Linked DNA regions of Canis lupus familiaris. The protein of the gene in region 2 purifies or fractionates together with the protein of the main gene of each other region. This does not show direct contact. Links are inferred from orthologs where the notes say so. Each region holds a gene or a part of one and is shown on either strand. Other genes may lie near its edges.

Region 1 (3,899 bases), on a different chromosome or scaffold from region 2:
AACCTAGTGTCTAATATGGTAGCCATATTTATATTTCAAATGTGGCTACCCCAAATTAAGATATGCTGTAAGTATAAAATATACTTGGGATTTTGAAGACTTAATACATAAAAGAATTTGGGGCACCTAGGTGGCCCAGGTGGTTGAGCATTGGACTCTTGATTTCTCCTTAAGTTGTGCTCTCATGGTCATAGGATCAATCTCTGTGTCAGGCTCCGTACTTAGCAAGGAGTTGGCTTGGAATTTTCTCTCTCTCCCCCTCTGCCCTTTCCCCTGCTTGTGTTCTCCCCCTCTCTAAAATAAATTAAAGTAAAAACTTTTTAGAAAGTAAAATAGCTCATTTTTTAACTTTGATAACATGTTGAAATGATGATGCCTTACATACATTGGCTAAATTAAATATATTCAAATAAATTTGTTTTGCTTTACTTTTTAAAATGTGACTACTAATAAATTTGTAAAGCATGTTGTGCTTTCTGTGATGCTAGAAAATTAAAATTGGACTTACTGCATTCTTTTATTAATTTTCATTTACTGTTGTAGGTGTTAGAACTGATATGTACTCGAGAATCAGGAGCAGTGTTTGAGGCTGGTGGTTTGAATTGTGTGCTTACCTTCATTCGTGACAGTGGACACTTGGTTCATAAAGATACCTTGCACTCTGCCATGGCTGTGGTATCAAGACTCTGTGGCAAGATGGAACCTCAAGATTCTTCTTTAGAAATTTGTGTGGAATCTCTGTCTAGTTTATTAAAACATGAAGATCATCAGGTAAATAAATCCCTGTTATATACTTTGTATTCAAAAAGTGATTTTATAGTGTCTCCTATTTATAACTCTGATACACTGTTATTTCAGCTTTTCACTTGATGAACTAGAGGTAATTCCATTTTCTCTTTTTTCTCATTTCATATTTCTGTATGGTAATCTTTGTTTTGGCAGTGAGACATTTTAAGTTATAGAAGTGATATGTTTATTTTTTTAATTTAAATGTTTCAGAAATACATAATTTTTAAAGCTGCATTATGCTCAGTGTGATTTGTTGACTCAGCACAAGTTGCTGACTTAAAGAGATAGTTCTCACTGAAGTAAAATAACACAGTATTTAAAATCTTTTATGTGTAAAGTTTTTTTTTGAATTAGATTTTAGAAAATAAAACTTTTAAATGCCTTTTTACTATTTTGTTAATTATTTTTGGTTGATATTCATAGATATTTTGGCAGAATTGTTCATAATAATAGTTAATATTTATTGAGCTTTTACTGTCCATCTAGATTCTTTATGTATGTCATCTTATTTAAGGTTGGACAGTGAATTATAGGTACTTTTATCTCCATTTTACAGATAAGGGAACTGAGGCCTTGAGCAGTTAAGTAATAACCTGAGGTCATACAGTTGGGCAGAATGTGGACCCAGGATTAAAATCTAGGCAGATTATATGCCTTATATCGTTGCTATAGCTGGCATTCTTAAATCTCAGTAATGAAATTAGCAGTACCCTTTTTAGGAACATTTTATCTATATGCATATTCTTTACATCATTAGGTTTCAGATGGAGCCCTACGGTGCTTTGCATCACTAGCTGACCGATTTACCCGTCGTGGTGTTGACCCAGCTCCATTAGCCAAGCATGGATTAACTGAGGAGCTGTTATCTCGCATGGCTGCTGCTGGTGGTACTGTATCAGGGCCATCATCAGCTTGTAAACCTGGTCGCAGCACTGCAGGAGCACCTTCCACGGCTGCAGATTCCAAATTGAGTAACCAGGTGTCAACAATTGTAAGCCTGCTCTCAACACTTTGCAGAGGCTCTCCAGTAGTCACACATGTAAGAATGTTTTTGAATATGTGATTTTTAATCTTTCAGTAAAAGTATTTTGCATAATGTAAATATATTAAACAGTTCTCCCATTCCGTTTCTAGGATCTCCTGAGGTCAGAACTTCCAGATTCAATTGAAAGTGCATTGCAGGGTGATGAAAGATGTGTGCTTGATACCATGCGTTTGGTTGACCTTCTCTTGGTGCTATTATTTGAAGGACGAAAAGCTTTGCCAAAGTCTAGTGCTGGATCTACAGGCAGAATCCCAGGACTTCGGAGATTGGATAGCTCTGGGGAGCGCTCACATCGGCAGCTTATAGACTGTATTCGAAGTAAAGATACCGATGCACTTATAGATGCAATTGACACAGGAGGTTGGAAAATATTTTTTAAAATATAAAAAGAAAACAGATAGGAATTATATAGGCAATTTCTAGTTTCTAGATTTTAGACCAGTATTATTAGCAGTTGGGCCAGATAATAGAAAGGCCACCAACCACCTCTGCACCCTTTCCTCTCCCCATGTATATAATTATCGGCCTGGTGCATGGTAAGACCTGAGTAAATGCCTATTAACAGAGTAAATGAAATGAATAAAGGAAACTAGTACCCTGTTGAATTGTGTTATATATTTAGGTTTTTGGTTTTTTTTCTTCTTATTTTATCTTTATTTTTAAGGGCCTAAAGCCTTGTGAATCCTCAGTGGTTTAAAAATTTTAGAATATCTTTTCTTAGCAGAATTTGTTTGTGGACTATTAACTACTATAGAGTTGATCCAAATGTTTAAAATTGATTCTGTATTTAGTGACTATTAATAATAATTTTTAAATGGTTCCCATTGTAGAAAAGTTCAGTATTACTGTGTTAGATTTTTAAAAATTTATTTTTCTCCTTGAAACTTTTCCAGCCTTTGAAGTAAATTTTATGGATGATGTGGGTCAGACTCTATTAAACTGGGCCTCTGCTTTTGGAACTCAGGAAATGGTAAGCTAATATATAAAAGCTCATGTTTTAAATAAAGATAGAACTATTAATAAGGCAACTTTATGATTCTTCATAATTTTACAGGTAGAATTTCTTTGTGAAAGAGGTGCTGATGTTAATAGGGGTCAAAGGTCATCATCATTACATTATGCTGCATGTTTTGGAAGACCTCAAGTAGCAAAGGTAAAATCCAGGTTTTTAAATTACTAATTTAATATTTAACATTTACATGGTTCCAAAATTAGAATGATATAAAAACTTTTATTTTGATGATAAGTCATTCTTCCATGCCATCTCCATTCACCATATTCCCCATTGTTCACTGTAGGTAAGCATGTTTTATTTATCTTTTTAGTATTTCTTAACATAGATACAAACAAAAAGAAATATATATGTTTATTCTCTCTTTTTCTAATACAAAATATAACATATTACATACATATTGAAGACCTCTTCCTATTAGCATTTATTTATTATTATTTTTTTAGAGATTTTATTTATTTATTCATGGAAGACACAGGGAGAGAGAGAGAGAGGCAGAGACACAGGCAGAGAGAGCAGCAGGCTCCATGCAGGGAACCCGACGTGGGCCTCCATCCTGGGTCTCCAGGAACACATCCTGGGCTGAAGGCGGCGCTAAACCGCTGAGCCACGGGGGCTGCCTCCTATTAGCATTTAGATAGCTTTTTTACATCTGTATACTTGCCCTGTGGATATACTGCAAATTTATTTAACCAGTCACCTGTTGCTAAACACTAATTTTTCCAATTTTTTTACTCTTGGCACCAAATAATTTTGTACATATTTGTGTTGTTTTTGTTATCATTAAAGCAGATAATTTATTTGCTGAAGGATAATATCTTTGATTTCCAGATTAGCAAAGGACATTGGAAAGTTCTTTTTATAGTTAGGAAAAATTGAGAAGGTTCAGAGAGGTCAAATGATAAGGGTTGGACCTGATGTGTGAATGATCTAGGTCTCTAAAATCTTCATAATGTGAAGTAATTTGGCACATGCAATGTTAATCTGCTAAGCCAGGCACACTTGGATTTAAGCTTTAGCTTATTAGCAAAACAGTTTTTTGGCCTTGGGCAA
Region 2 (4,553 bases):
ACATTTTGCACTTAGGGGGATGGGATCATACTGATTGAATTGGGAGGCGTAGAATCAACTGCTAATGAAGCGCATGGCTGCTACACAATGAATGAGGCTGGCAAAAATGCCTGCAAGAATGGATAAAGTTCAATGTTTGAATTTCTTTATAGTAAAATAAATAAGCCAATACAACATTTCTAAAAATGCCCTTTTTAGAATGCAGAAAAATTGCACAAACAAAAAGGTCTTTAATTCTGATGCTCTGTAACCATTTGTGATGCAAGAAAATGCAAATATTTTATTCAGAGAAGTGTAAAATACAGCATAGAACATATTGGAACAATTGTCAGAACTTGAACACACTACATAATACATGATAGCATCAAAATTCAGTTGTGTTGGGATCCCTCACTGGCTCAGTTGGTAGAGCATGCCACTCTTGATCTTGGGTCATGAGTTTGAGCCTCATGATGGGTGTAGAGATTACTTAAAAAAAAAATCCTAAAACAAAACCAAAAAAAGTTCATTTGTCCTGAATTTGATAACTGTGGTGTAGTCATATAAAAGAATGTTACTAGAAGATACAAAATGAAGTATTTAGTGGTTAAGGGACATAATTTCTGAAATGCTTACAATTGGCTCAGAAATGTATACGTGGCTTTTACATATTACTTTTACTCACATATGTGTGTGTGTGCATGTGTACATAGAGAAATAGCAAATGTGGCAAAATGTTAATATTTGGCCAATCTGGGAATGGATTTGCAATTCTTCTGTATTTGAATTTATTTATTTATTTATTTATTTATTTATTTATTTATTTATTTATTTATTTATTGTATTTGAAATTATTTAAAAGTAAAAGACTGGAGAAATAGGCTTAAGAAACCTTCTGTTTCCATGTTTGTGGCTTCTATGCAGTCTTTTCTAACTCACGTTAAAAAAATAAAAACTAAAAAATGCAGCCCAAACCTGCCTTATCCTTTCCCTCCATAGTGGCCAGAAACCCCTGCCAAGTTCCTACTGTGTCCCATCAAGGAAAAACCTCATAGCAATATGTTTCTATATCAAATTTTTTTTCTTTTTTTACCCACCTCCTCTCTTTCAAGAATTTTAAAGAGCATTATTTTGGAAATCAGTTGTGGTGTTTGGGTTAAAGCAGCTGCCCAGGCAAACGACCTGGGAGCAACCTCACTAGCATGAACCCCCCGCAGAGCCCCTAGATTGAGGCCAAAGTCCAGCGCACTGGCCCGCTGCACGCCGGGATCTGGAGTCTTTCTTCATCCACCTGCAAAGCGCTCTGGGATTGCCTGGCCTCTCCCATATCTCGCGATGCTCTCTTCTCTCCTTCTTAGCCCCATGACCCCCCCAAATCAACGTGTTTTTCAAATCCGCCAATGGGAGCGCAGCGTAGGCTCGAACCAGCCAATCGGAATGCGGGGACACCGGGAAATTTAAATCGCGCCGGCCGGCAGCACGAGCCACACCGTCTCTGGGCTGATCCGCGGTGGACGTTTTGAGGGCAGCTGACCCGCGGCCTGCGCGCCCCGCACCGCCTCCCGTGGAAGCCTGAGCCGGCCGTGGAGGTACGACTGAGGCCAGGGCCCGGCCCGAGCGGCAGCGGCAGGCTGGCAGGCCGCGCCCCGCTTGTGGTGGCGGGAGGGGAGGCCCGGATTCCACGCCCGACCTGGCTGTGGCCTCCGTCGTTGACGAGGCCTGGGGGCGTCGTTCGTTGAGGAGGCGGCCGTGTCGCGGTGCGATTGCTTGGGTTTGGGGGCCGCTGAGGCTCTGCGGACCGCGGCGGGAGCTGCGGCGCGTCGCGGCCCAGAAGATCGCCGAGGCCCGGGCGGCGCTGTCCCCTCTGGCCCCGCCTCCGCCCGTTCCCCGCTGCATCTTCCCGGGTGGGGGGCAGGGGAAGGGCTTGGAGACGGGGCGGGGGGGCGGTGGCAGTTGGAAGAACCGTCTCTTAACACGTAGGCCCAGGCCCGGCTGTGACACAGCGTCGGCAGGGAACATCACGGAATGGAAGACCGCACATTGCCAGGAGGACTTGTACTTTTGTCCTCCCTTGGCGATCGCTCTGAAAGAGCTCTGTTTGAAGGAAGCGGGGTTAGTAGCCGCCTAACTGAGAGCGTTTCTTGGGAATGAAAATGTTTGCCGGGTGCTGAGGATGCAGAATTGGGTCTCGAGGTCTCGGTGTTGACACGCAGGGTTATGGAAGCCTCCGTAACGCGATGATGTGCCACATACTCCTTTAACTTTCAAGTGTGGAGAATGGACCTGTTTGGGCCATTGGGAGAGCCTCCGGAATATGGATTTGTGGCCCGTTAGGACGTCGGTTTTAACTGTGAGCTCAGTTTGCCCCACTCTGTGTTCAGTTGGTCCCAGCTGCACCGTCCAGTGTGGTGTGTGAGTCCTCAAACCGATGTGGCTAGCCCGGATTGAGCTGTGCTGTAAGCCCCAAGTACGCACATGATCTCCGAGTATTAGTATGAAAAGTGTAAAATCTATCTAGCTCGAAATAGGAGAACATGTGGAAAGGAGAGTATAGCGGACGTGTTGGGCCGGAGGGAATAGATTTGAAATTCATTTCTCCCGTTTCTTTTTGCGTTTTTGAAAAAATGTAGTTACCAGGAATTTTCAATTTATGCAGCTTGCTTTCTCTTTCTGATGGACAGCACTGTTCCAGGAAGTCTCAGCCTTTCGGAGAGGAGGGGACTAATACTGTTGGGCCAGTTCAGTATTTCATAGTGCTGAAAAAGGAAGTTAGTCCTCTACTATACAAGTGTGGGTCCAGTATATGCTTGGTAATTCTATTAATGCTCTTCTTATTGACAAAGCAAAATGATAAATGGGAAATTTCTTTCTCTTCCTCCATCTTACAGCTTTCTTCCTTTGTCTCATAACCATGTCCACCAACGAGAATGCTAATTCACCAGCTGCCCGCCTTAACAGATTCAAGAACAAGGGGAAAGACAGTACGGTGAGTATCTTCTGTTGCTTTCCTGTGCTATTTTTTAAATGGAAAGATATTTGGGAAGTGATCAGAACTTTGAGGAAATTTGAAATAAATATTCTCACTTAGCCACAAAAATTGATATAGTGGGTGAAGTGGTTTATCTTCTTCCAAGGAAATGAGGCGGCGCCGAATAGAAGTTAATGTGGAGCTGAGGAAAGCGAAGAAGGATGACCAGATGCTGAAAAGGAGAAATGTAAGCTCATTTCCTGATGACGCTACCTCTCCACTGCAGGAAAACCGCAACAACCAGGTAAATATATATTTTAGATTGTGAATTCTGGCAAACCCACAAAATCAATATGGTGCTTTTCTTAGAAATTTAAGCAAGGAGTCCCTGGGTGGCTCAGTCGCTTAGGCATCTGACTCTTTATTTCATATTTCACCTCAGGTCTTGATCTCAGCATTGTGAGATTGAGCCCCACATTGGGCTCCACACTGGGCACGGAGCCTACTTAAAGAAAGAAAGGAAGAAACTTAAATAATGTTCCTAGCCTAATGGTTTTAATTGTCAACTCTGTTAATGATCTTTTTTTTTTTTTTTTTCTCCCAGTCAGTAATTCTGTTGGGTTGTCTTCTTTCCTGGTCTCCGTAATGTACTGAAACAGATTCTGAAGTCTCCTTTAGCTCTGAACTCCCTTCAGATTTCCCTGCATTTCTAGCCACCAGTTCAGGACCTTGACTGGCCATTCCTGTGTTAACAGAAAGTTCGTGTGTCTAGAACTAGTCACTTTCTGGCTTCTTTGGATGTTCCCTATTTTTTGTATTTGTCACCAGCTTTGTTCAGATCTTTTCCCTCCTGAACTATTTTAGATGGTCTTCTAATTTATCTTTCCCTTCATTCTGTGCCACATACTATTTACCTAAACATAGTCTTAAAAATACTGCTTTAGACCTGTTCTTTCTCTGTTAAAAATTTTGGTAGTTTTAAATCCATATTCTTTGAAGTTTTTTTTTTTTAATTAGATCAATCTTAGGTTTTCAGATTTATCTTTTTGTATCTTTCAAAGATACTGAGAACCTTTAGTAGTTCAAAAAATTGTTTTTCACTGAATAGTTAATACCTATGTGTTATTTCTAGAGTACTATATTCAAATCCCATCTTCTTACAGCACTCCTTGGTCAGCCTAGCAGGAAAAATGTCTCCTTTTTAGAATTCCCATAGCATCCCAGATGTGCACTAAAAATGGAGAGTAAATGCTAACACAATATAAATATTCACCATTTGTTTTATGGTTGTCTGTTTTTCACATTTTCCTTCTTAAGCTGTAAGCACCTGTGGGAAAAGGGGTGTTGTCTTTTTGAGCTAACTATAGCACTGGTTCTCAAACCATTCTACTATGATCACAACATGAAACATTTTTGTAGCCCTGTACTATGGAAATGCATAGATTATAAGCTTACATATGAAAATCTCCAGCACACTGCCTATATAACTCCATCCCTTTCTTCCTAACAGCATATCTAAATGCAAGTGATTGAGACTGTAGGACCAGTCTTCAGACTGCTTGAATTTCATTTATTAAATTGTTTGCAGTCTCCTTTTACTGATGAG
Region 3 (3,899 bases), on a different chromosome or scaffold from region 2:
TTTCTTACTATTTCCAAAGTCTGTTCCCAAGAAGGTGCTCAGTGAGAGTGAGGAAGGAACCCAGCCCTAACACACCCTTATTTCCATCTGTGGAGCAGGTAAGAGATCTCAAGAGACAAGGAAGCTGTCTCAATGAGCAGACTCTTACTCCAAGTCCCAGCTGCTTACCAGTTACACCCTTCGCATCAATAATATTCTCTGCAGCTTTAGCTACTGCACAGTTCAGAGATTCACTGCCAACTGTGTTCATTCTTCTGGAGTTCAAAGCCCGCTTCTGTTTGGTGGTTCCAAAGGCTTCAATGCAAGAATCCATCTGTGCATAGACAAATTTGGTTTGTGTAGGGACAGTCTGGGCACTACTACTCCTAGCTGTGTGACCATGCGGAAACTCAGCCTTTCTAGGCCAGGATTACCTCACCTATAAATCAGGCTAAATCATACCTCTCTATCTCACAGGCTGGTGTATTAGCAGATCTGAAGTACCTGCTTTGGCTAATTTTTTTTTTTAATTTTTATTTATTTATGATAGGCACACAGTGAGAGAGAGAGGCAGAGACACAGGCAGAGGGAGAAGCAGGCTCCATGCACCGGGAGCCCGACGTGGGACTCGATCCCGGATCTCCAGGATCGCGCCCTGGGCCAAAGGCAGGCACCAAACCGCTACGCCACCCAGGGATCCCTGAAGTACTTGCTTTGGAAACTGTCATGGGCTCTTTACAAATCAACAGTGTCTCCATTTGTACAGTGAAAAGCCTGGATCAGAATGAGGATTGGTAAATCTGGCACATAACTTACCATTTTCCAGCCTTACACCCATAGCAGATGTTGCTAATCACTCACTCTTTCCCACTGAGCCTGAAGACAGCCTCACACCTTCTCAATACAGTGCTCCAGGCAGCACTGAAGACTCAATCAATTTGCAATCCTGGAGTGAGATTAGCTTTATAGGAACCACCTACGCTGAAAATCCTGAAGTTTACTCTGTTTTAATGTGAAAGCTTCCAGGCTACAGCCAGAATTTTCTGAAACTTGCATTCAATCCAAAAACAAGTGTTACACTACACCTATGTCAGCCCAGAGAATCAGTTCCAAACACTGGGATGGAGCTGAGTATAGCTGCCCCAGGCGGGAGGACGGCGCTCTGTGAAGCTGAGAAGCCTCCACAGGCAGGCTGACTGGAGAACCACAGACAGAATGAGCTGGGAGCAGCCCTGTGCTCAGTCAGCTCATTTTCCTGATGGAGAAGCACAAGGCACAGAAGGAACGTGAGGCAGGTCCCATGTCTCACTTCTGTCATTCTTACCTTTTCTCTAAAAGTTTTGGCCTGACTCTCTTGTGTCAAGTCGCTCTCAAGTGATTCATCTATCAAGACACAAAACAAAAATAGGAAAAAAGGAAGCTGTAAGGCCCAGATTATAATAGCATTTAATATTTATTCACTGTTAATCTAAGACAGACAGATTTCTTTACTGTAGGACTTCCCAGAGTTTAACATGATGGATCCTATGAATATTTAGTCTGTCGCTTTAGTATACAGTTGGAGGATATGGAGAAGAAATTAAGGAGTCAAATGAAGGGGTCATCTGGTCCAACCTCTTCATTTTACAAATAAGGAAAAAGCCTCCCAACGAAATGATTTGTCCTAAGTCAGTTCACCAGGCAGTGGCCGAGATGGGATTAGAAACCAAGTCCTCGGCTCTTTGCAGTAAATAGTTTTGCCCGCCTTATAAAAGATAAGCAAGCATAAATGTAAGGTATGTGTTACTTACATGAAGCTCTCTTATCTCCCATAAAGTATTCATATAAGGGCAGTATAATCTAGAGGGTAGGAGTATAAGCTCTAGAGTGGCCTTGTCTGAGTTTCAATCCCAGGTCATATAGATAGATAAAGACGGATAAAGGAAATTTATATTTTTATATATACACATTATAATTATATATAAAGGTGTGTGTATATATATATATACACACACACACACACACATCAACATTATGTCCCTGTCAAACTCTGTACCAGTTTCGTCATCGATAGAACCACCAGAGGGTTGTCACATGAATTATGACAATCCTCGTGCATTAAAAGTACTTAGAACAGTGCCTGACAAATAGTTAAGGACTCAATAAATGCTGCATGTGTGTGTACGTGTATATATATGTTGGCTAGAATAAACTAGTATTTACACATTTTTTACCTGTAAAAACAAAAATTTGAGAACAATTTCCTTTGCCTCCTTGGAAGTCAGAAGAGCACTTGGAGGATTATTTATTTATTTTAAAGATTTTATTTATTTATTCATGGGAAACAGAGAGAGAGAGGGAGAGGGAGGGGGAGGCAGAGACAGAGACAGAGGCAGAGGCAGAGGGAGAAGCAGGTTCCCTGCAGGAAGCCCGTGGGACTCGATCTGGGTCCAGGATCACGCCCTGGGCTGAAGGCAGCAGCTAAACTCCCTGAGCCACCCCGGCTGCCCTGGAGGATAATTTAAATGTAGATGTATTTGTTCGCAAAGCAAGGAGTCCTTAACCTACAGACTCTGGACCCCTAGGAGAGTCGCAGATGGGACTCAGAGCCCTTTACAATTATATGCAAAATTTCATATATATTCTTACGTATTACGTATGTTTCTGGAAAGTAGGTCCAGTCCTTCAGATTCTTTCTTTTTTTTTTAAGATTTATTTATTTATTTATGATAGACATAGAGAGAGAGAGAGAGAGGCAGAGACACAGGCAGAGGGAGAAGCAGGCTCCATGCTGGGAGCCCGACATGGGACTCGATCCCGGGACTCCAGGATCGCGCCCTGGGCCAAAGGCAGGCTCTAAACCGCTGAGCCACCCAGGGATCCCCTGGTCCTTCAGATTCTTGAAAGGACTGGCACCACTGCTCTGCAGGAATAAAGCCAGAACTACTGCCTTGGAAGGCATCAGGCAGATCTACTGTGACCCTAACAATCCTTCCTCAACTATACCCTCCCTCACTGTGGTTCTCAGTATTTAAGATTTAGAGAACAGGAGCCCCTTGAGTCTGACCCTCTGACCTATCATTCTGGAAGATCCCACACTCTGGCCCTGAGCATCATAAAATGCCAAAGAAGAGAAGCAGTACAAGCTCTCTCACTAAATTAGGGGAAAAAATGGATCTCCTCCTAATTAGAAAGTATAGAGAGACTTCTCATCAACATGAAAAGGGCTGTCTAACCTCTAAGTAACTCCCATCTTCTCTAAAGCCTCTACTCCAGGGCAGCCCCTGAGCCACCCAGAAGGCAGACGCTGAGCCACCCAGGCGTCCCCCTCACCACCTTTTAGTCTCCCTCCCCACCTTTTAAAGATTTTATTCACTGATTTGAGAGTGAGAGACCACAAGCACAGAGAAAGAGGGAGAAGCAGACTCCCTGCTGAGCAGGACCCTGAGATCATGACCTGAGCCAAAGGCAGACGCTTAACTGATCCACCCAGGCAACCCTGCTCAAATGGCTTTAACTGATTATTTTCTGATCTCAAATCTGTAAACATAGCAGCGACAGGACCTGTATCTGTTCTGCTACATCCCTAGCCACTAACTTGTGCCTGGAGCAAAGTAAGTTATCAATAAATATTTGCAGGAAGGCACCCTTTTAAAAATAACAAATGTGTTTTACAAATCAAAACCAAACTCATCCAGCAAACCTAAAACATGCAGTGTTCTTGCAAGCCTTCGTGACTGGGTCCTACCTGCAAACAGTGGCTGCATGTTGAACAATTCAGCATCATACACTTGCATCTGGCCAGAGGTCTTGTTGAGAATTCCCACAAAGTGCCTGAGCAAAGTTGGAATAATACCAATGACAAAGGATTCCTCAAAAAGTACTGTTTTACAACTTCCTTTTTCCTGCTTAAAAGTTCTTAACAGTCCTTCAGCAGGGAG
Region 4 (3,899 bases), on a different chromosome or scaffold from region 2:
GAGGAGTCCTGTCTTTTGAGGGAAATTAGGAAAACCTGAGAAAGGTGAAGGAAAGGATAGTTACTTGAGATAGTTACTGTTACAATTGTGCTAACCTTAGTGATGCAGATCAATCATTAACAAGATAGTACATTTTAGACCACTGGGAGTATTGAAGTATGTGCGTGTTTTGCCTTTTGGCTAAAACTAGCTCAAGATTGAGTTAATTGTAGCACTAGAAAATCTCTTTATAGTCTTCTGTTCTATCTTACCCTCCAATTTTTTTTCCTTTGGTGTTAAAAGCTGGACAAACAGGTCACTGAGTTTGTTGGTATATATAATTGGTCCAAAGTAAAGAATTGGAAGGAAGGTCATTCTCAAGAATAAAGTTGGAGTGAATCAACCCAATTCAATGACAGCAGTTTCGGTAGCATGAAGACGTTTTTTCAACTCCTCTTGTTCCGTGGTTCTGTGTGAATAACCTTAATTGTCTAAGTACATAGTGGTTACAAAAATGTATACTTACAATGTTAAAGGAGAACTGTTTGAGACAGTTTGTTTGAAGTAGGGTTTGGTTAACATTCCATGGGCATGTTTCTGAGTAGCATGAATTCATGCTCTACCCGAGTAGACTGCGTCTTCATCATTTCTGTATTTCTAGGGCTTGCCAGATGGTTTGGTTCATCTCTGTTGGAATTTGTCATTATAATTCTCATTGAACCATTACCATTTTAAAGTTCTATATAAGCTTAGTATAATTAAAACCAATCCCTACCATTGCATTGTACTTTGGAGGGACATCTGTCTAATATGTGTACCTATGCATCTCTGCTGATTTTTACTGAAAGTAGAGGATACCACAATTGTGGATTATAACTGGACAAAATTCAAATACTATAGATGTTGAAGACATTTGGCATAGCCAGGAACACCTGAAAGAAAAAAATAGATGAGGGAGGAAGGCTATGAATGTACTGTATATTCGTGTAGCGAGGCAGAGTGTTGCAAAACATGGATGACAGTGGTACGTGTCAGTAAAATACTACAAATTAAAGCCTCAAATTAGATATTGGTTAAATTATAGTAAGTAGAAATTCCTAAAGGAAGAAGGTGATAAACTGTAAACAAAACATCTTTTAAAGAATTTTAATGAGGCCTAAGTGTCACTTATTAATTACATGATTATTAAATATTGCTTAGGTAAAAACTCTATTTTTAAGTAGTCCATGTTGAATTTTAGTAACTGTATAAATGTGTATAAATATATGTTCTCCCAATAATAACATTTCAGATCATGTTCTGATTAGGAAGCTTCCTTAACTTTTTTTTTTCCTTACACTCTCCTCTTTCCCTCCTTATAGGTTTCATATCACCAAAGGCAGATTCTCTTGCTGCTCAGCCTACTACCACAAGCCCAGTTGTTTATACAAGACCAGCAATAAGTAGCTTTTCTTCTAGTGGCATCGGGTTTGGGGAAAGTTTAAAAGCTGGATCATCGTGGCAGTGCGATACTTGTCTACTCCAGAACAAAGTTACAGACAGCAAGTGCGTAGCCTGCCAAGCAACAAAATTGCCGCCAAAAGATAATGCTAATAAACAAACTGGAATTGGAACACCAAGTAAAAGTGACAAATCAACTCTTTCTGCATCAGGGACAGGTTTTGGAGACAAATTTAAACCAGCAGTAGGCACTTGGGATTGTGATACGTGCCTAGTGCAGAATAAACCCGAAGCGATAAAATGCGTGGCCTGTGAAACACCGAAGCCTGGGACTGGTGTTAAGCGAGTCCTTACGTTGCCTGCAGCCTCAGAGAGCGCCGTGACTGCGGCTGCTTCATCGGCCACCTGCACTGTGACCACTGCTGCCTTAGGGTTTGCAGATCAGTTTAAAAGGCCTGTGGGATCTTGGGAGTGTCCAGTATGCTGTGTTTTTAATAATGGAGAAGACAGTAAATGTGTGTCCTGTGTGTCTGAGAAACCAGGTACGTGTATGGCTCTTTGGGAAAAGTTTGCTCATTATTTTGGTAGGACATTTAAATGTATTGTCTGCTAAGAACCACCTTAATGTTTGTAATGTGTAAGGATGAGCATTTCCTCATACATCTTCATTTGCCTCAGCTATCTTGAGGTCAAGTGACTTGCCTGAGGCTGGATCTGTGTGTTATCTTAGGTGGTGCATTAGCCAGCCCAATATATACTTGTACCTCTTTTTTTACATACATTTTTGTCAGAAACTACTTGTTCTTGGTTATCATTTTCAAAGTTGACTAATACAGAAGCTGAAAGATCTTAAAAGGAACAGTTGTTCCCAAAACAAACACCACTTTATCTCTGTTTTGAAGTGAGGACGGCAAGTGGTCATTCCAGAGAAGGTTTCACCAGGGAGTAGACAATACTGCTTTGTGAAAAGACTGTTGTTGAATGTTAATGGTGATACCTATACCTGTGTGGTCTCTGCCAAGATGTTGCAATGATAGTAAATTACTGAATCTAACTTGGCAGTAAAAAACATGGAGTTAGATTTGAGTTTTTTGTTTCTCTGTTCTAATTTGAAAAAGTTATTGGAAATTCACAACTGGAAAGGACTCTGCTGTTTTTATAATATATAATTATTTGGTATAGATATATGGTAACATAGGTACTAAGTAAAAAGTGTTAAGAATATCATCGGAATTATACTTATTTTTTTATTGCATTATTCATGGATATGTAGTTTTTATGTCTGCAATGGAAAGTTGATTTGTTAACCTGTATACCCTATGTGTGAACACAAGAGGTGAGCCTTATTTCTAATTCTTACTGGACATGTCCACAAGAATAAGATTTCAGAATCTTCATTCTGAAATAACTTTCTTTTTCTATGTGGCATTCCTCCTCCTCACCTAAAAAAATAAGTAAATAAAAAAGCAAGCCTTTGCTTGTGGAAGAAACCAAAATTAATTCTGAGTTGATTGGGAGAATAAAACTGAGTTAGAAAGTAAATTCCTTCCACAAATAAAGGAAGCTCAAAAATTTATTCAAGCAGTCAAGCTTCAGTCTTGTAAATGATGAACCATCATTATAAGCAGAGGAGTGATCCAGTTAAATTTGTATGTTTGACAAATTGCTTCGTGGGTTTTTGGAGGATAGATTTGAAGGCAACAAAATTTGGAGACCAGAGGGCAGATGAGGATGTATCAGGAGTACATGTGGGCAAAGATCATGGCAATGGAGATACTAAGGGAGTCAAATCAGGATGTAGAATAATACATGGTTGATTTGAAGGTGTGAAGTTGGCACATAAATGCAAAGCCTTTAGATACATTACACATGCATGTTCGGGGCTGGAAATACAAATTTGGGAGTCATTAGGCTCTAGTTTTCAAATAAGAGATGGGAGCAGAGATGGATGTGAAGTGAGGGACTGGCCTAAAACTGAACTCTGTTAGCTTACGGGAACTGGCAGGAACGAAACCATTCTGTTAGCTTATGGGGAGTGGCAGGAACAAAACTTTGGAACAGTTAATATTGTATTTTATTTTATATTATTTTATTATTTTATTTTATTTTTTATTATTTTTTATTTTATTTTTTTATTTTTATTTTTATTTCATTTACTTTTTACTTTACTTTTTAAAGATTTTATTTATTCATGGGAGAGAGGCAGACACACAGGCAGAGGGAGAAGCAGGCTCCATGCAGGCAGCCCGACATGGGACTCAATCCCGGGACTCCAGGATCATATGCCCTGGGCCGATGGTGGCACTAAACCACTGAGCCACCCGGGCTGCTTAATCTTTTAAAGGAGGGACTGGGGAGGAAAATCCAAAACTACATGGCACTGATTTTGCTTCTTAGAAGAATGGACTTCAGGGAATGAGAATGGAGGCCTCAACAAGTTATGCAAGCAAGAGCTGAGGGCCACTTGACATAGGGCAGTG
Region 5 (3,899 bases), on a different chromosome or scaffold from region 2:
AATATAACTATAATATGGATAAATATAATTATGAAATAGAATATAAATAAAATGTATTTGGTACATTAAATATTTATATTTTAAGAAACAGATATACTAAAAACAAATTTAAGATACATAAAACTAGTATACTGAACAAAAGCAATACAAGAAGCCAAATGATGTTCTGAGTACCAACAAAGGTTCTCAGATTCCAGATAGTGGATTCTTAGAACAACTGGGAATAGCTGTACTTTGGCTAGGAGAATGGTTTAGGTTTTTTAAGGATGGATCCCCAGAGACCAATATTTCAGTACCTAACACTTGAAGAGAATCCCTGTCCCACCTCAAACAATAAAAACTCTTTCAAAGGCTCAGATCTCAACCTAATCCCAGGCTCTGTGTATAAGAATCATCACATCCGCAGTCTGTTAGAAAAGTAGTACAAGAACATGAAGATCACCTCATTGGAAGACAACGGCTGGGTGAAGGGGGCAGTAGAGGGAGTAGTAATCTCACTCATCCGAAGCATAGTCCGCACGATCTCACTGCTGGTCTGGGTTTGAAAAGTGAACTACAATTCAGAATTCACTCCACTGTGCTGACTCTGGCTATATGCCAATGGCTACATCTGGCAAATAAGTGAATGCTCCTGATTTGGGACACCGTCCCACCCACTTAGATACCACCTGGTCCATCCTGTTGGCAACTGCACTGACAATGGCTTGGTCACGGAAGTGCTGATGGAATCTGTCAAGGTTGGCCTGCCAATAAATCCCATCATCTGGAATGGGCTGAGGAGGAGAAAAGGATTAGAGAGAAACATTTAGATACCGTGAATATGGGGAAGAGTTTTCTGGCGAGGAGCTTGGATTTAACTGTTCACTATTTTTTTTCCTATTCAGTAGCAACCACGTGGGGTGGAAAAAAAAAAATCATTCAATCATGTGGATCAGGGCCTTGATGACACAAATTTACAATACCCAATTCAGATTCTCTAAACTCACCTCTATTTATTTATTCATTCATTCATTCATTCATTCATTCATTCATGAGAGACACAGAGAGAGAGGCAGAGACGTAGACAGAGGGAGAAGCAGGCTCCATGCAGGGAGCCTGATGCAGGACTCAATCCCAGAACTCCAGAATCATGCCCTGAGCCAAAGGCAGCCGCTCAACCACTGAGCCACCCAGGCATCCCTTAAACTCACCTCTGAATTTACCTAATCTTTCTCTATCTGAACTCTTCTCCAGTATCCTTAAATTTTCTATTTACCCCTCTCTTCCCACTCTCAGCACATGACCTTGCCTCTTATTTCAGAGAGAAAACAGAAGGCCCTTTTTTGGCATAAGATCTGACCTCTGTTTAATGATGAAGCCTCAGAAAGGAGAAAGTAATGGAGTTTACACTTTGTTAGTTCATTCTTGGTCAATATTGAATGAAGTTCATAATCCTACTAATCCTACTACTTTTTTTTTTTTATAAATCTTTTTTTTTAAATGTTTATTTATTTATTTATGATAGTCACACACAGAGAGAGAGAGAGAGAGAAAGAGAGAGAGAGGCAGAGACATAGGCAGAGGGAAAAGCAGGCTCCATGCACCCGGAGCCCGACGTGGGATTGGATCCCGGGTCTCCAGGATCACGCCGTGGGCCAAAGGCAGGTGCTAAACCGCTGTGCTACCCAGGGATCCCTAATCCTACTACTTCTCAATCAAGGACCTTGTAAATCTCTTGGGGCCTGTTACCTTTGTTATCTTTCTGCCTTGCCTTAGGGTGAGGACCCCTAAGCCCCATTACCTCTTTGTTATCTGTGTTGTGTTTTGGTCTCTTGGCCTTGGGCTCCCCAGCAGCATCTTCATCAGATGATCTTCTCCTTTTACCTTTCCCTGATAAATAAAACAGGCAAACAGTTATGCTACATCTCATATGAAGACAGGAAATCACTGAATCTGAGAGCAGGTTTCCCTCTATCCCAAGACATCTCCAGCTGCCTCTAGGTTAAAGTGGCTGGGGAGGCTGAGGAGCTCCAAGAAATTCGAAGTAATGATGAAGTCATTTGAAGCTCAACATATTCAAAAAAGAAAGTTCTAATCTTTCTACCTCAAACTGTTCCTGTTCCAAACGCTTCCTTTCAGTGAGTAGGACCATTCATCCTCCCCCCACATGCAAGTCAGACACACAAATGTCATTTAGTACTTCTGTCTCCTTTACCCTTTCTGTATCTAATTTTTCACTGGGTTTGTCTACATTTTACCTTTGCCCTATCCTATCTACAAGCAGGAAAATCTTTTAAAAATGCAAATTAGATCATGTCACTTCCTTTAAATCCTTTAGTAGTTTTCCTTTGCTCTTAGGATAAAGAACAGATGCTGTCTGTATAACGTCTTGTATGATCTAGCCCCTATCTTTCTATCCTCATCTCATGGCTCTCTTTGCTCACCATGCCTTAATTACACTGACCCATCTTTTACTTCCTCAAATATCCTATTTTTTTCTCATTGTACACTATTCCTTTTGTAAAAATATTTATCCTCTGTACTCCTTCATACATTACCTCACTGGTTAGTTCCTGCTTCTGTTTCAAATCTTAGCTCAACTGCTACTTTCTCAGAGAAGCGTGTGCTCTAAATCCTGAAAAATTTGGTTCCCTGTTACATATTTTCATAACATCTCATACTTTTCATTCATAGTACTAATCAGTTTCTTAGTTATACATCTATCTGATTATTTGAGTAATGTAACTCAAGTCTTTTTTATATTAGTCTTAAGCCCCAAAAGGTCAGGGACTTGTTTTTTCATTTTACACCACAGTATCTGGCATAGAGTAAATATTTGGTAACTGCTTGATCGATTCATTCACTAATTTAACAATCTTTGAAGAAGAATCCACAACCAGGGCAAATCATAGTTTCAGGGGTCAAAATTCCTTACCGATCAAGCTCAGTTTTGGAACCAGGTACATGTCCTTTTCACTGATCACAAGAATGGGGGCAGGTGGCAGTGGCCCTGGGTCTGAATTCTCAGTGGCAGGCACCCAGGGGCAACGCTGTACAAAGTGTGTGTCTGCTAGTCGCACAAATGTGTTTGATACCTCAGCATAGTCCATGGTCTTGCCATCTGTACAACAGGATGAAAGTGGCAGATGAGATTGCCTAAGTTAGCTGAAGTTCCAGTCCTGCAGCCAGCCAATCTACGCTTTTGCTAACAGCTATGAGTACAGTACTAACCCTCCATAGTCTCTGTGAGCCGGTCTGCCACTTTCTTCACAACAGCTGACATTGTCATTTTGCCATTCAATAGCAGCTCCTCAACAATGAGTTCTCCGGTGTCACTGTACAGTGTTTTGGCAGTATAGATGTACCGGGGATACCTAAGCATTCGCAATACGCGGCTGCACTGGGCTTCATACTCCACTACACCACGTTTGTGCACTTGATATATCACCAGGTTATGTTGGATAAGCACACAGAGGGCTTTTTTTACCTAGATAGGACGCAAAAGAAAGAAAGAAAAGATCTGAAGTCATAGCTCATTTTTGTTGCCAATTTTTGTCTAATAATTTACTAAGAGCTGGCTAAGGATCTCTGTGCTTCTTCCCTCCCTCCATTTGGATAAGCTATTGAGAATCACATGTCAAGGGGCACCTGGTGGCTCAGAGATTGAGCGTCTGCCTTTGGCTGGGGTTGTGATCCCTGGGTCTTGGTATTGAGTCCCTTATGGGGCCCCCTGCTCAGCGGGGAGCCTGCTTCTCCGTCTCCCACTCCCCCTGCTTGTGCTTTCTGTCAAATAAATAAAATCTTAAAAAAAAAAAAAAAAGAATCACATGTGAATGGAAGAAAACAGTAAGATTCCTCCCTCTGACACTCATTTCCTCTGATCATTCAAAGTATAATGTGGGGCACCTGGGTGGTTCAGT
Region 6 (4,464 bases), on a different chromosome or scaffold from region 2:
TTTAATCTTCACTATAGTTAACTTTTAATTCCAAGGCTAGTCTCTCTGCCCTTTGGCTCACTTTATTCACTCAATACTCTTAGTGCTCACTATGCCAGAAAATGATTTGGGTTTGGGAATAATAGATGTTATCCCTGCCCTCAAAATACTCAGGGAAAATGGAGAAGAGAAGCATTTTTAATATTTTTTTTTCAATTTTTATTTATTTATGATAGTCACAGAGAGAGAGAGAGAGGCAGAGAAGCATTTTTAAAGAGATTATTAAAATTTTACTGAGTGGTATCATAAAAAAAGTATACCCCAAGGAGGGAATGAGCATGTAGTTCAGATGCGGAGAGTGTCAGAGAACACCTCTAAAAAGTCTTTTTAGGCAAAACCTGGATGATGAGAAAGACTTAGCCAGGGGACCTGGGCCAAGGAGGAGCCTCCCAGGCAGAAAGCAAGGACGGGTGCATGCAAGGATGCCAAGTTGTTCTGTTCAGCTGACACATGGAGTGTGCATGGCAGGCAGTATGCCATGATAAGGAGTCTAGCATTTACTGAAGGCAAGAGGGACCCTGATGGTGGTTTTTAGTTAGGAGAGTAGTAAGACTAGATTTGTACCAAAAAAGTAGTGTGAAGCAATGTGAAGAAGTAGATGATGAGGGATATGACAGGTAGAGAAAATTCATCATTCCTTTCTTCCTTCATCCAATAAGGATTTGTTGCACTAAGATTTGTTGCAAGACTGCTCTGGACCAGACATTGTTCTAGAAGGTGAGGTGAGTGTAATGAACAAAATCCCTGCCCTTCCAGACAGGTTCCCTGTAGGGAGCCTGATGTGGGACTCGATCCCAAGACCCCAGGATCACCCGAGCCGAAGGAGATGCTCAACCACTGAGCCACCCATGTGCCCCTCAAAGGTTTGTTTATTAAGGACAACTCCAAAGAGTACAGTATTAATTCTCTTCCCATCTGTGATATAGAGCCAGACACAATGACTCCCAACTATCCACAATGAAAAGCATAAGAGAAATGCTTCCCTTCCATGTATACATCAGACTCCAGTCCTTCATCTATCTATTGGGAAAGAATCCTATCAATCCTTCCATTTCTCCTCTACACCATCAACTTTTCACTCTACTGGATCATTCCTATCTGTATTATAACACATGCTATTATTTCTTCCAAACTGAAAAGAGTTTCTTGACTCTGCTTTACCTGTCAGCTTTTTGTTACTCTCTGCAGCAAAACCCTTAAGTGTTCACTAGAATATTGACCATGTCCAGATTCTCTCCTAAACTCATCCCAATCAGGCCTTCACTCTCACTGTGTCATCAAAACTACTCTCCTTGAGGTCACAAGTACATTGTGTGTTGCTATGTCAACTCTGCATCTTCCTGCTTCTTGACCTATCACAGCATTTGATAGAGCTGCTCACTCTCACGTCCTTAATACACTTTCTTCATTGAGCTTCCAGGAGACCATCCTCTCTTGGTTTCCCCATCTCTCACGGCAGGTCCTCCTCATCTTTCCAAACTTTAATGATGGTCTTTCTATTCTCTATCCACATTCCAGTGCACTCTCATCCATACGCTGACAACTCCAAGATTTATACCTCTAGCCCAGACCTTGTTCCTGAACTTCTATGCAACTACCTTCTCAATGTCTCCACTTGGAAGTCCAATAAACGTGTCAAACTTACATCCAAATGGACTTTCTAATGTCCAAATCCCTTTCGAACTTGGTCCTCTTACAGCTTTCTCCATCCCAGTTGATATATATCTTTCAGTTGTTCAAGCCAAAAAATCCCAAGTCTTCTCATTCTCTTACATACCACATCTAATGTCAGCAAAGGATGACAGAACTGACCACATGTTACTACTTCCACTGCTACAACCCCGATCCATGTCAGCATCACCTCTCAGGTTATCATTCTCCACTGGTTATCAACTGGGGGTGATTTGACTCCCTAGGGGGCATTTGATGAGGTCCGGAGACAGTTTGACATTGATTAGGTGGGAGTTGCTACTGACATCTAGTGGGCAGAGGCCAGGAATGCTGCTACCATCAGACCATGTATAGGACAGCCCCTACAGTAAAAATGTCAATAGTATGGAAGTTGAGAAAAACTGCTGTATTCCTTCCTAACAGTCCTCCTTGTTTCTTTCCTTACCCTTGATGTTTACTCTCAGTGTGGCAGCTAGAGTGATCCTCTTAAAATGTAAGACAGATCTTACCTGCTTAAAACCATCCAAAAGTCAAGGGCCTCACAACAAAGCCCCAACAAGAAGCAATGGGGTCGACAATCCCACTCTCCATGCTCTGACTTCCCCTCCCACAATTTGCCCCCTTGCTCACTCCATTTTAGCTTTTGCTACACAATTCTTGAAGGACTTTGCTCTAGCAGATTCCCTCTGCCTGGAACGCTCTTCCCTCAGTAATCACTAGCCTTTGTCCATCATCTTGTTCAAAGCACTTATTCAACTTTCATCTTCATAATGGAGCTTACTAAGACCACCCTATTTAATACTGTATCCTGCAAGTTGGCCTCCCCTCCTCTTCCTTAATCTGCTCAAGTTTTTCCTTCTGTTCATAGCATTCATCACTTTGAAATAGAGTTATGTAACTTATATTTCCTGGCTCCCCACAGAATGGCAGCTTCTCATAGAATGGCATCTGTAGGGACGACAGGGATTTGTCTTGTTTGTTGCTGCATCCCAAGTATCTACCACTGTGCCTGGTACACAGTAGGTGCTCAGTAAATATGAGAAGGCTTCTACTGTTTTTCACGGTCACATCATACTCATCTGCTCTTTAGCTGTCGGGATACAAACAATATCTCTTCAGTCTGAAACCTGCTTTGGGTAAATCTGAATGTGAAATACTAGCAAACAGAGGATCCAGGCAGGAGCATTTCTCTGGCACCAAAAGTCAATACACTCTGGCTGTCACACATCTCTCTCGACTGGAGAGGGGAGGCTGCTGATGGTTGTGAAGTGCAGTAGGGCCACCGATAAGAGAAGAAACTAAGTCCCAGGGGCAGAGATCTCTGTAAAACCTGACGAAGGAGAGAGAATGAGGAATCCTTCAGTTCAGATTACCGCATTCCCTCTATCCCCTTCCCGCCCTCCGAAGCGACAGCAACCGGAGAGAACAGGAAAGATCATCAGCGCGGATTTGGCCTCAGGCACCACTTCCCCGAGGGAGACGGAATCTCAGAACTCCTCTCAATCACACACTGCAATCGCTGGCAGGAATGGAGAGGTGGGTACAGAGTCAGATAAGCCCGAGAATTCGAAATCGAAAAATCCTGGAGACATCAATCAGAGCGGGGAGGGCTGGCAGACGTGCACCCCGACGCCCCGGGGCTGCTCCCAGCCCTCTCCCTCCCGCCTGTCCCCTGCGCGAGGACGCACGGGCCTCTGCTCTCCACGAGGCAGGACCGAGGCCGGCCGGGGGCCGGGGGCTCGCCAGCGTCGCGGGCAGGAGACCCCTCGCGGCCCTACTCACCTGCGGCTCCATGGCCAGCACCGGCCCACACGCGCCAGGGGCGCCCGCCGGAAGAGGACAGGGCGCCGGGGCTTCCGGGACCCGCGTTCTCTCTCCGGCTTGCGACACAAGCCACGCGTGTGCGGGGCTCCGGGGCTCCCGACCGACGCCACACCCGCCACTTTTGAATTCCAACCGTCGCCACCCTTCTCACCTCCCTCCGCACGCAAGGGCCAATCGTCGCCGTCGCCACGGCCGAGACCAATCGCAGCGCCCCCTGCCTCTGGAGGCCACACCCCGCCAGGCCGGCACCTTCCCCTTCCTGCTTCGCCGGCGCGCGGGAGGCAGGAGGTTAGTCACACTTCCGGCTGCCCTCCCACCTCTCTCGCCCACCCCGCCTCCAGCCGGGGTCGGGCTGCACTTCCGCTCGGCTCCCGGCTGCAGCACGTCACGTCAGAGCATTCCCGGACGGCGCCGCGCGAACTCAGCGGGGTGGGGGCGGGGACGCTGGGAGAAAGGAATCACGCGAGAGCACACGGGACTCGCTTAGGGGGAGGGACGCGACGGGGCAGCCCCCGCCCCCAGCGAGTGCGGCGGGGAGCACCCCCGTTACCCCCGGCCGCGTCTGTGCGATTAGGGTTCGTGACTCGGCGCCTCGCCGCGGAGGCGAGGTCCCTAAAGCTCCCGGGAAGTGGGAGCAGGAGCCCGCCGGTGGCGTGAGAGTGGCCGCGTCTACCCCCTCCCCAGTCATTTTGGCATTTCCCCCCAAACCTAGGGACTTGAGGTGCAGCTTGGCGCTCCTGGAAGCCCGACAGTGGGGATTCGAGGCTCAGAGGGGTTTTCCCTGCAGTCCCCCTCGGCACCCCATGTCCTCGGTACCTGGGCGCCGGTACCGGTGCTGGAGCTGCCTTAGGGCTCCGGAGCCTCCATCCCACGGACGGCAGACTGCTTACATTTAGGAAGTTTCTATGCTTCTCAGGCTGTCTGCACGTG
Region 7 (3,899 bases), on a different chromosome or scaffold from region 2:
CTTCCTTACACAAAACTACATTTCTGAACCAATACATATGTGCTACGGTCTCTCAAGTATCTGGCATTTTAAGAAATAAAAAACCAAAAAACAAATCTAAGATTAAAGCTAAGATCTTGTCCCTCTGGGAAAAGATGACCATTCTCAATTTTATTTCTGCTTTTAAGCATCATGGCACAGTTTTATCTTTTAGCTTTATATGTCTATATACCACAACCCTCAGAGGTAATAAATTCTGATCTCATATGTTCTACATTTCCATGACAACTGGCTCAGGAACCCAACAATTATGTTAGGCATTTATAAGGATCCAGAATTAGGCTGCAAAGTTTGGATGTAGGGAAAGATCTAGGAAAAGCAGCTTCTTTTGGGGAGATGTCATTTATATGTCCAATAAATGTGAAGGCTGCCTTTAGGTGGGGACTTCAGACCGAAAGGTCTGAGACTGATGCATCTATAATTGTGTTAAAAAAAAAAAACAAAACATGAGCATGTTTTGCTATTTGTATTAAATTTCTCTAAGTACAGGCTCAGCAGTTTAGGGCCTGCCTTCGGCCCAGGACATGGTCCTGAAGTCCCAGAATCGAGTCCCATATCAGTCCCATATCAGAAGTAGGGAGCCTACTTCTCCCTTTGTTTCTGCCTCTCTCCCCCTCTCTCTCCCTCTCTCGTCTCTCATGAATAAATAAAATCCTTAAAAATAAACAAATAAATAAATTCACTTATTTATTTCTCTAAGTAATTAGATTAGTACAAATAAACTGTAAAATGACTAATGCTCAGTCAAAACAATCTTTTAAAAAATTCAAATTCAAAATGAGCAGATTTTGGGGAGAAAGTTTTATTTCCAATTCTAATTGTTTTATGTTCAAGAAATAAAAACTTATGCATTTGATTGATTAAAGAAAAAAATGAGAAAGATTGCATTTTTATAAATTATTCATGAATATGCATTAAGAAAAGGAATTTTATTCACCTGTAAGAGGTGGGATATCACGATTAACTGTTTCTTCTGCTTCTTCTAAACCATTATTTATCGATGGCCTCACTTGAACTGCTTGATTTGAGTAAGCCGCTCCATTAGTTGACGTAGTAGTACTGGTAGTGATCTCATCCACCTGTTCCATATCAAGTTGTTTTACTATTTCTTCAGCTTCCACAGCCTGTCCTGGGGAATCGGATCCTGATGTTCCTATAATCAAGATTCAGGGTATTGACAACCATCATATAAAAACTCAAAAGGGGGTAGGGAATAGGATAGATATTTTTAAGGGTACAGACTTATAGCAAACAAACATAAGCCCTACAGACCTAATACACTGTAGAGTGAATATAAACAATATTGTATTATAATCAACAAACTTGCTAAGAGACTAGAGCTTAATTGTTCTAACCACTAAAAAGGATAATTATGTAATGTGATAGAGGTGCTAACTATTGTTACACGGCAATCATATTATAATATACAAATGTATCAAATTAACTTGTTAACCTTATATATATATTTTAAGATTTTATTTGTTTATTCATGAGGGACACAGAGAGAGGCAGAGACACAGGCAGAGGGAGAAGCAGGAGCCATGCAGGGAACCCAATGTGGGACTCAATCCCAGGTGTCCAGGATCATGCCCTGGGCTGATGGTAGCGCTAAACCGCTGAGCCACCGGGGCTGCCCAACTTGTTTACCTTAAATTTACATAAATGTATGTCAGATATATTTTAATAAAAGTGAAATACTGAAAAATAAACTCAAAAAACAGAAAAAAAAAGGGGGGGCGGGGGACACCTGGGTGGCTCAGAGGTTGAGCATCTGCCTTTGGCTCAGGGCATGATCCTGGAGTCCGGAGATCAAGTCCCACATCGGGCTCCCTGCATGGAGCCTGCTTCTCCCTCTGCCTGTGTCTCTGCCTTTCTCTCTCTTTCTCTGTGTCTCTCATGAATAAATAAATAAAATATTTTTTAAAAATGAAAACTAAACTAAAAAATTTGGAAAAACCAAATGCAACAGAAATAGAGCTGAGGATACTACTGTTTAGTGTTTTTTTTTTTCTATACATCTCAAATAATCAGGAATAAAGACTATTATAAGGTAAAGTGATACTGATGAACAAAATTTTAAGAGTGTTCGAATAGTTTAGCAACACCTATTTAGAGCTTTTATAACTTAGAACTTTAAAAAAAAATTTTTTTTAAAGATTTTATTTATTTATTCATGATAAACATAGGGAGGGGAGGGGGGGCAGAGACACAGGCAGAGGGAGAAGCAGGCCCCATGCCAGGAGTTGACACAGGACTTGATCCCGGGACTCCAGGATCACGCCCTGGGCCAAAGGCAGGTGCCAAACTGCTGAGCCACCCAGGGATCCCCAGAACTTTAAAAATTTTTTTATTGAGGGATGGCTCAGTGGTTGAGCATCTGCCTTGAACTCAGGTCATGATCCCAGGGTCCTGGGATTGAAACCCACATCAGGGTCCCCACAGGGAGCCTGCTTCTCCTCTGCCTATGTCTCTGCCTCTCTCTCATGAATAGATTTTAAAAATTAAAAAAAAATTTATGGAGATATAACAGACATATAACTGTTTAAGTTTCACGCTTATTCACGTGTTGATTTAATACATTTATATATATACTGCATTATGACTACTAACCTAGCATTAGCTAACACCTCTATCCTGCCGCATCATTATCATTATTTTTGTGGTGAGAAAATCTAAGATCTAGTCTCTTTGCAACTTTGAAGTATACAATACAGTATTGTTGACCATAGAACTTCTTTTCAATATAGCAAATATCTTTTATTAAGTGCCTACTATGAGCTAGGCATTTTATATGTATTTTTTTCCATTATCATTTCCATTAAACAGATCCTTATCCTTCCATACTAAGCATCCTAGCCACTGTAGGCAGTTGTAATTTTAAAATCAGAGGTAGTTATGCAAGAATGAGCTAAATGTTCCCCTAACCATCAGAATATTTTAATTCAGAGACACAACAATTTCCCAACAATATTCCATCTTAGTAACAAAGACTGAAGTTAGTTTCCTAATCATACTCGCCTACCACCTAGATGAACCTGTTGCCCTATTCTTCCACTACTAGATAAACCCAACTCTTTTCTTTCTTTATGGAATTCTCCAAATGTCTTTTTTTTTCTTTTTAATTTGATATATTTATTCATGAGAGACACAGCGAGAGGCAGAGATGCACGCAGAGGGAGAAGCAGGCTCCATGCAGGGAGCTTAACGCGAGACTCCAGGATCATGCCCTGGGCTGAAGGTGGCACTAAACTGCTGAGCCACCTGGGCTGCCCCCAAATGTCATTTTCAACAACAAAATCAACCTCCTAAACTCTCAACTTTCTCACAGAATGTTCTTTCTCCATCATAGCTTTAAATGTAACTCCCTTCCAAAAAACCTCTTTTCCTGACATCTTTCCTGCAAAGCTCTTTATTCTTCCATACTCAACATACTAACTGAATCAGAATTCATTTATCTCCATTTCTGCTACCAGATCATTGGTTTTTCCACTGAATATGCAAAAAAATACCTGTTCCTGAGACTGATGTCATCTAGCTATATAATTCTTCACTTATCCCACTGCTGCCATCTACTAACTGCTGCCAGCATCCTCTCTCAATTAGAAGAATTGAACACCTCACCAGCAGTCTATTAAACACCTCCTAGTTATTATAGTAATGTCAATGACTCATCCTAAGACTAATCCTCAAAAGTCTTGCCTTCTCTAGCTCTATCTTCATTCATAACTGCTCTCTTAAGTAACTACAATGACCATAACCTGGATATTCACACTAAGAAAAGTTTCATCTCTGAAGACAAAAGTTCAAATATATCAATCCCCTACCATAACTTCCTCATCTTTTAATTATCGATCTCATAT

The links.
Region 1: the proteins of KPNA2 (region 2) and HECTD1 purify together in Homo sapiens (affinity purification with mass spectrometry; 3 studies listed by BioGRID, with this or other methods). This does not show direct contact. The link is inferred for Canis lupus familiaris from reciprocal best matches to the Homo sapiens genes KPNA2 and HECTD1.
Region 3: the proteins of KPNA2 (region 2) and POLR1E purify together in Homo sapiens (affinity purification with mass spectrometry; 3 studies listed by BioGRID and IntAct, with this or other methods). This does not show direct contact. The link is inferred for Canis lupus familiaris from reciprocal best matches to the Homo sapiens genes KPNA2 and POLR1E.
Region 4: the proteins of KPNA2 (region 2) and NUP153 purify together in Homo sapiens (co-immunoprecipitation; 4 studies listed by BioGRID and IntAct, counting the BioPlex papers as one, with this or other methods). This does not show direct contact. The link is inferred for Canis lupus familiaris from reciprocal best matches to the Homo sapiens genes KPNA2 and NUP153.
Region 5: the proteins of KPNA2 (region 2) and POLR3C purify together in Homo sapiens (co-immunoprecipitation; 3 studies listed by BioGRID and IntAct, with this or other methods). This does not show direct contact. The link is inferred for Canis lupus familiaris from reciprocal best matches to the Homo sapiens genes KPNA2 and POLR3C.
Region 6: the proteins of KPNA2 (region 2) and KIFC1 purify together in Homo sapiens (co-immunoprecipitation; 4 studies listed by BioGRID and IntAct, with this or other methods). This does not show direct contact. The link is inferred for Canis lupus familiaris from reciprocal best matches to the Homo sapiens genes KPNA2 and KIFC1.
Region 7: the proteins of KPNA2 (region 2) and CTDSPL2 purify together in Homo sapiens (affinity purification with mass spectrometry; 4 studies listed by BioGRID and IntAct, with this or other methods). This does not show direct contact. The link is inferred for Canis lupus familiaris from reciprocal best matches to the Homo sapiens genes KPNA2 and CTDSPL2.

Annotation. Positions count from the first base shown.
Region 1 is NC_049229.1:10,607,308-10,611,206, reverse strand, and holds part of HECTD1 (E3 ubiquitin-protein ligase HECTD1), read left to right. Parts: intron 1-543; coding exon 544-771; intron 772-1,546; coding exon 1,547-1,828; intron 1,829-1,923; coding exon 1,924-2,194; intron 2,195-2,727; coding exon 2,728-2,804; intron 2,805-2,888; coding exon 2,889-2,987; intron 2,988-3,899. UniProt on the Homo sapiens protein: E3 ubiquitin-protein ligase which accepts ubiquitin from an E2 ubiquitin-conjugating enzyme in the form of a thioester and then directly transfers the ubiquitin to targeted substrates.
Region 2 is NC_049230.1:14,367,998-14,372,550, forward strand, and holds the start of KPNA2 (importin subunit alpha-1), read left to right. Parts: upstream 1-1,410; 5' UTR 1,411-1,568; intron 1,569-1,955; exon of another isoform or gene 1,956-2,091; intron 2,092-2,867; 5' UTR 2,868-2,890; coding exon 2,891-2,965; intron 2,966-3,113; coding exon 3,114-3,251; intron 3,252-4,553.
Region 3 is NC_049232.1:54,129,790-54,133,688, reverse strand, and holds part of POLR1E (DNA-directed RNA polymerase I subunit RPA49), read right to left. Parts: intron 3,793-3,899; coding exon 3,707-3,792; intron 1,363-3,706; coding exon 1,304-1,362; intron 314-1,303; coding exon 169-313; intron 1-168. UniProt on the Homo sapiens protein: Component of RNA polymerase I (Pol I), a DNA-dependent RNA polymerase which synthesizes ribosomal RNA precursors using the four ribonucleoside triphosphates as substrates.
Region 4 is NC_049256.1:17,841,783-17,845,681, reverse strand, and holds part of NUP153 (nuclear pore complex protein Nup153), read left to right. Parts: intron 1-1,340; coding exon 1,341-1,961; intron 1,962-3,899. UniProt on the Homo sapiens protein: Component of the nuclear pore complex (NPC), a complex required for the trafficking across the nuclear envelope. Functions as a scaffolding element in the nuclear phase of the NPC essential for normal nucleocytoplasmic transport of proteins and mRNAs.
Region 5 is NC_049238.1:59,294,077-59,297,975, reverse strand, and holds part of POLR3C (DNA-directed RNA polymerase III subunit RPC3), read right to left. Parts: intron 3,467-3,899; coding exon 3,211-3,466; intron 3,101-3,210; coding exon 2,915-3,100; intron 1,870-2,914; coding exon 1,781-1,869; intron 774-1,780; coding exon 669-773; intron 536-668; coding exon 443-535; intron 1-442. UniProt on the Homo sapiens protein: DNA-dependent RNA polymerase catalyzes the transcription of DNA into RNA using the four ribonucleoside triphosphates as substrates.
Region 6 is NC_049233.1:2,985,752-2,990,215, reverse strand, and holds the start of KIFC1 (kinesin-like protein KIFC1), read right to left. Parts: upstream 3,165-4,464; 5' UTR 3,150-3,164; coding exon 3,084-3,149; intron 3,041-3,083; exon of another isoform or gene 2,786-3,040; intron 2,739-2,785; exon of another isoform or gene 2,220-2,738; intron 1,577-2,219; exon of another isoform or gene 1,201-1,576; intron 1-1,200. UniProt on the Homo sapiens protein: Minus end-directed microtubule-dependent motor required for bipolar spindle formation. May contribute to movement of early endocytic vesicles. Regulates cilium formation and structure.
Region 7 is NC_049251.1:11,450,841-11,454,739, reverse strand, and holds part of CTDSPL2 (CTD small phosphatase-like protein 2), read right to left. Parts: intron 1,193-3,899; coding exon 977-1,192; intron 1-976. UniProt on the Homo sapiens protein: Probable phosphatase.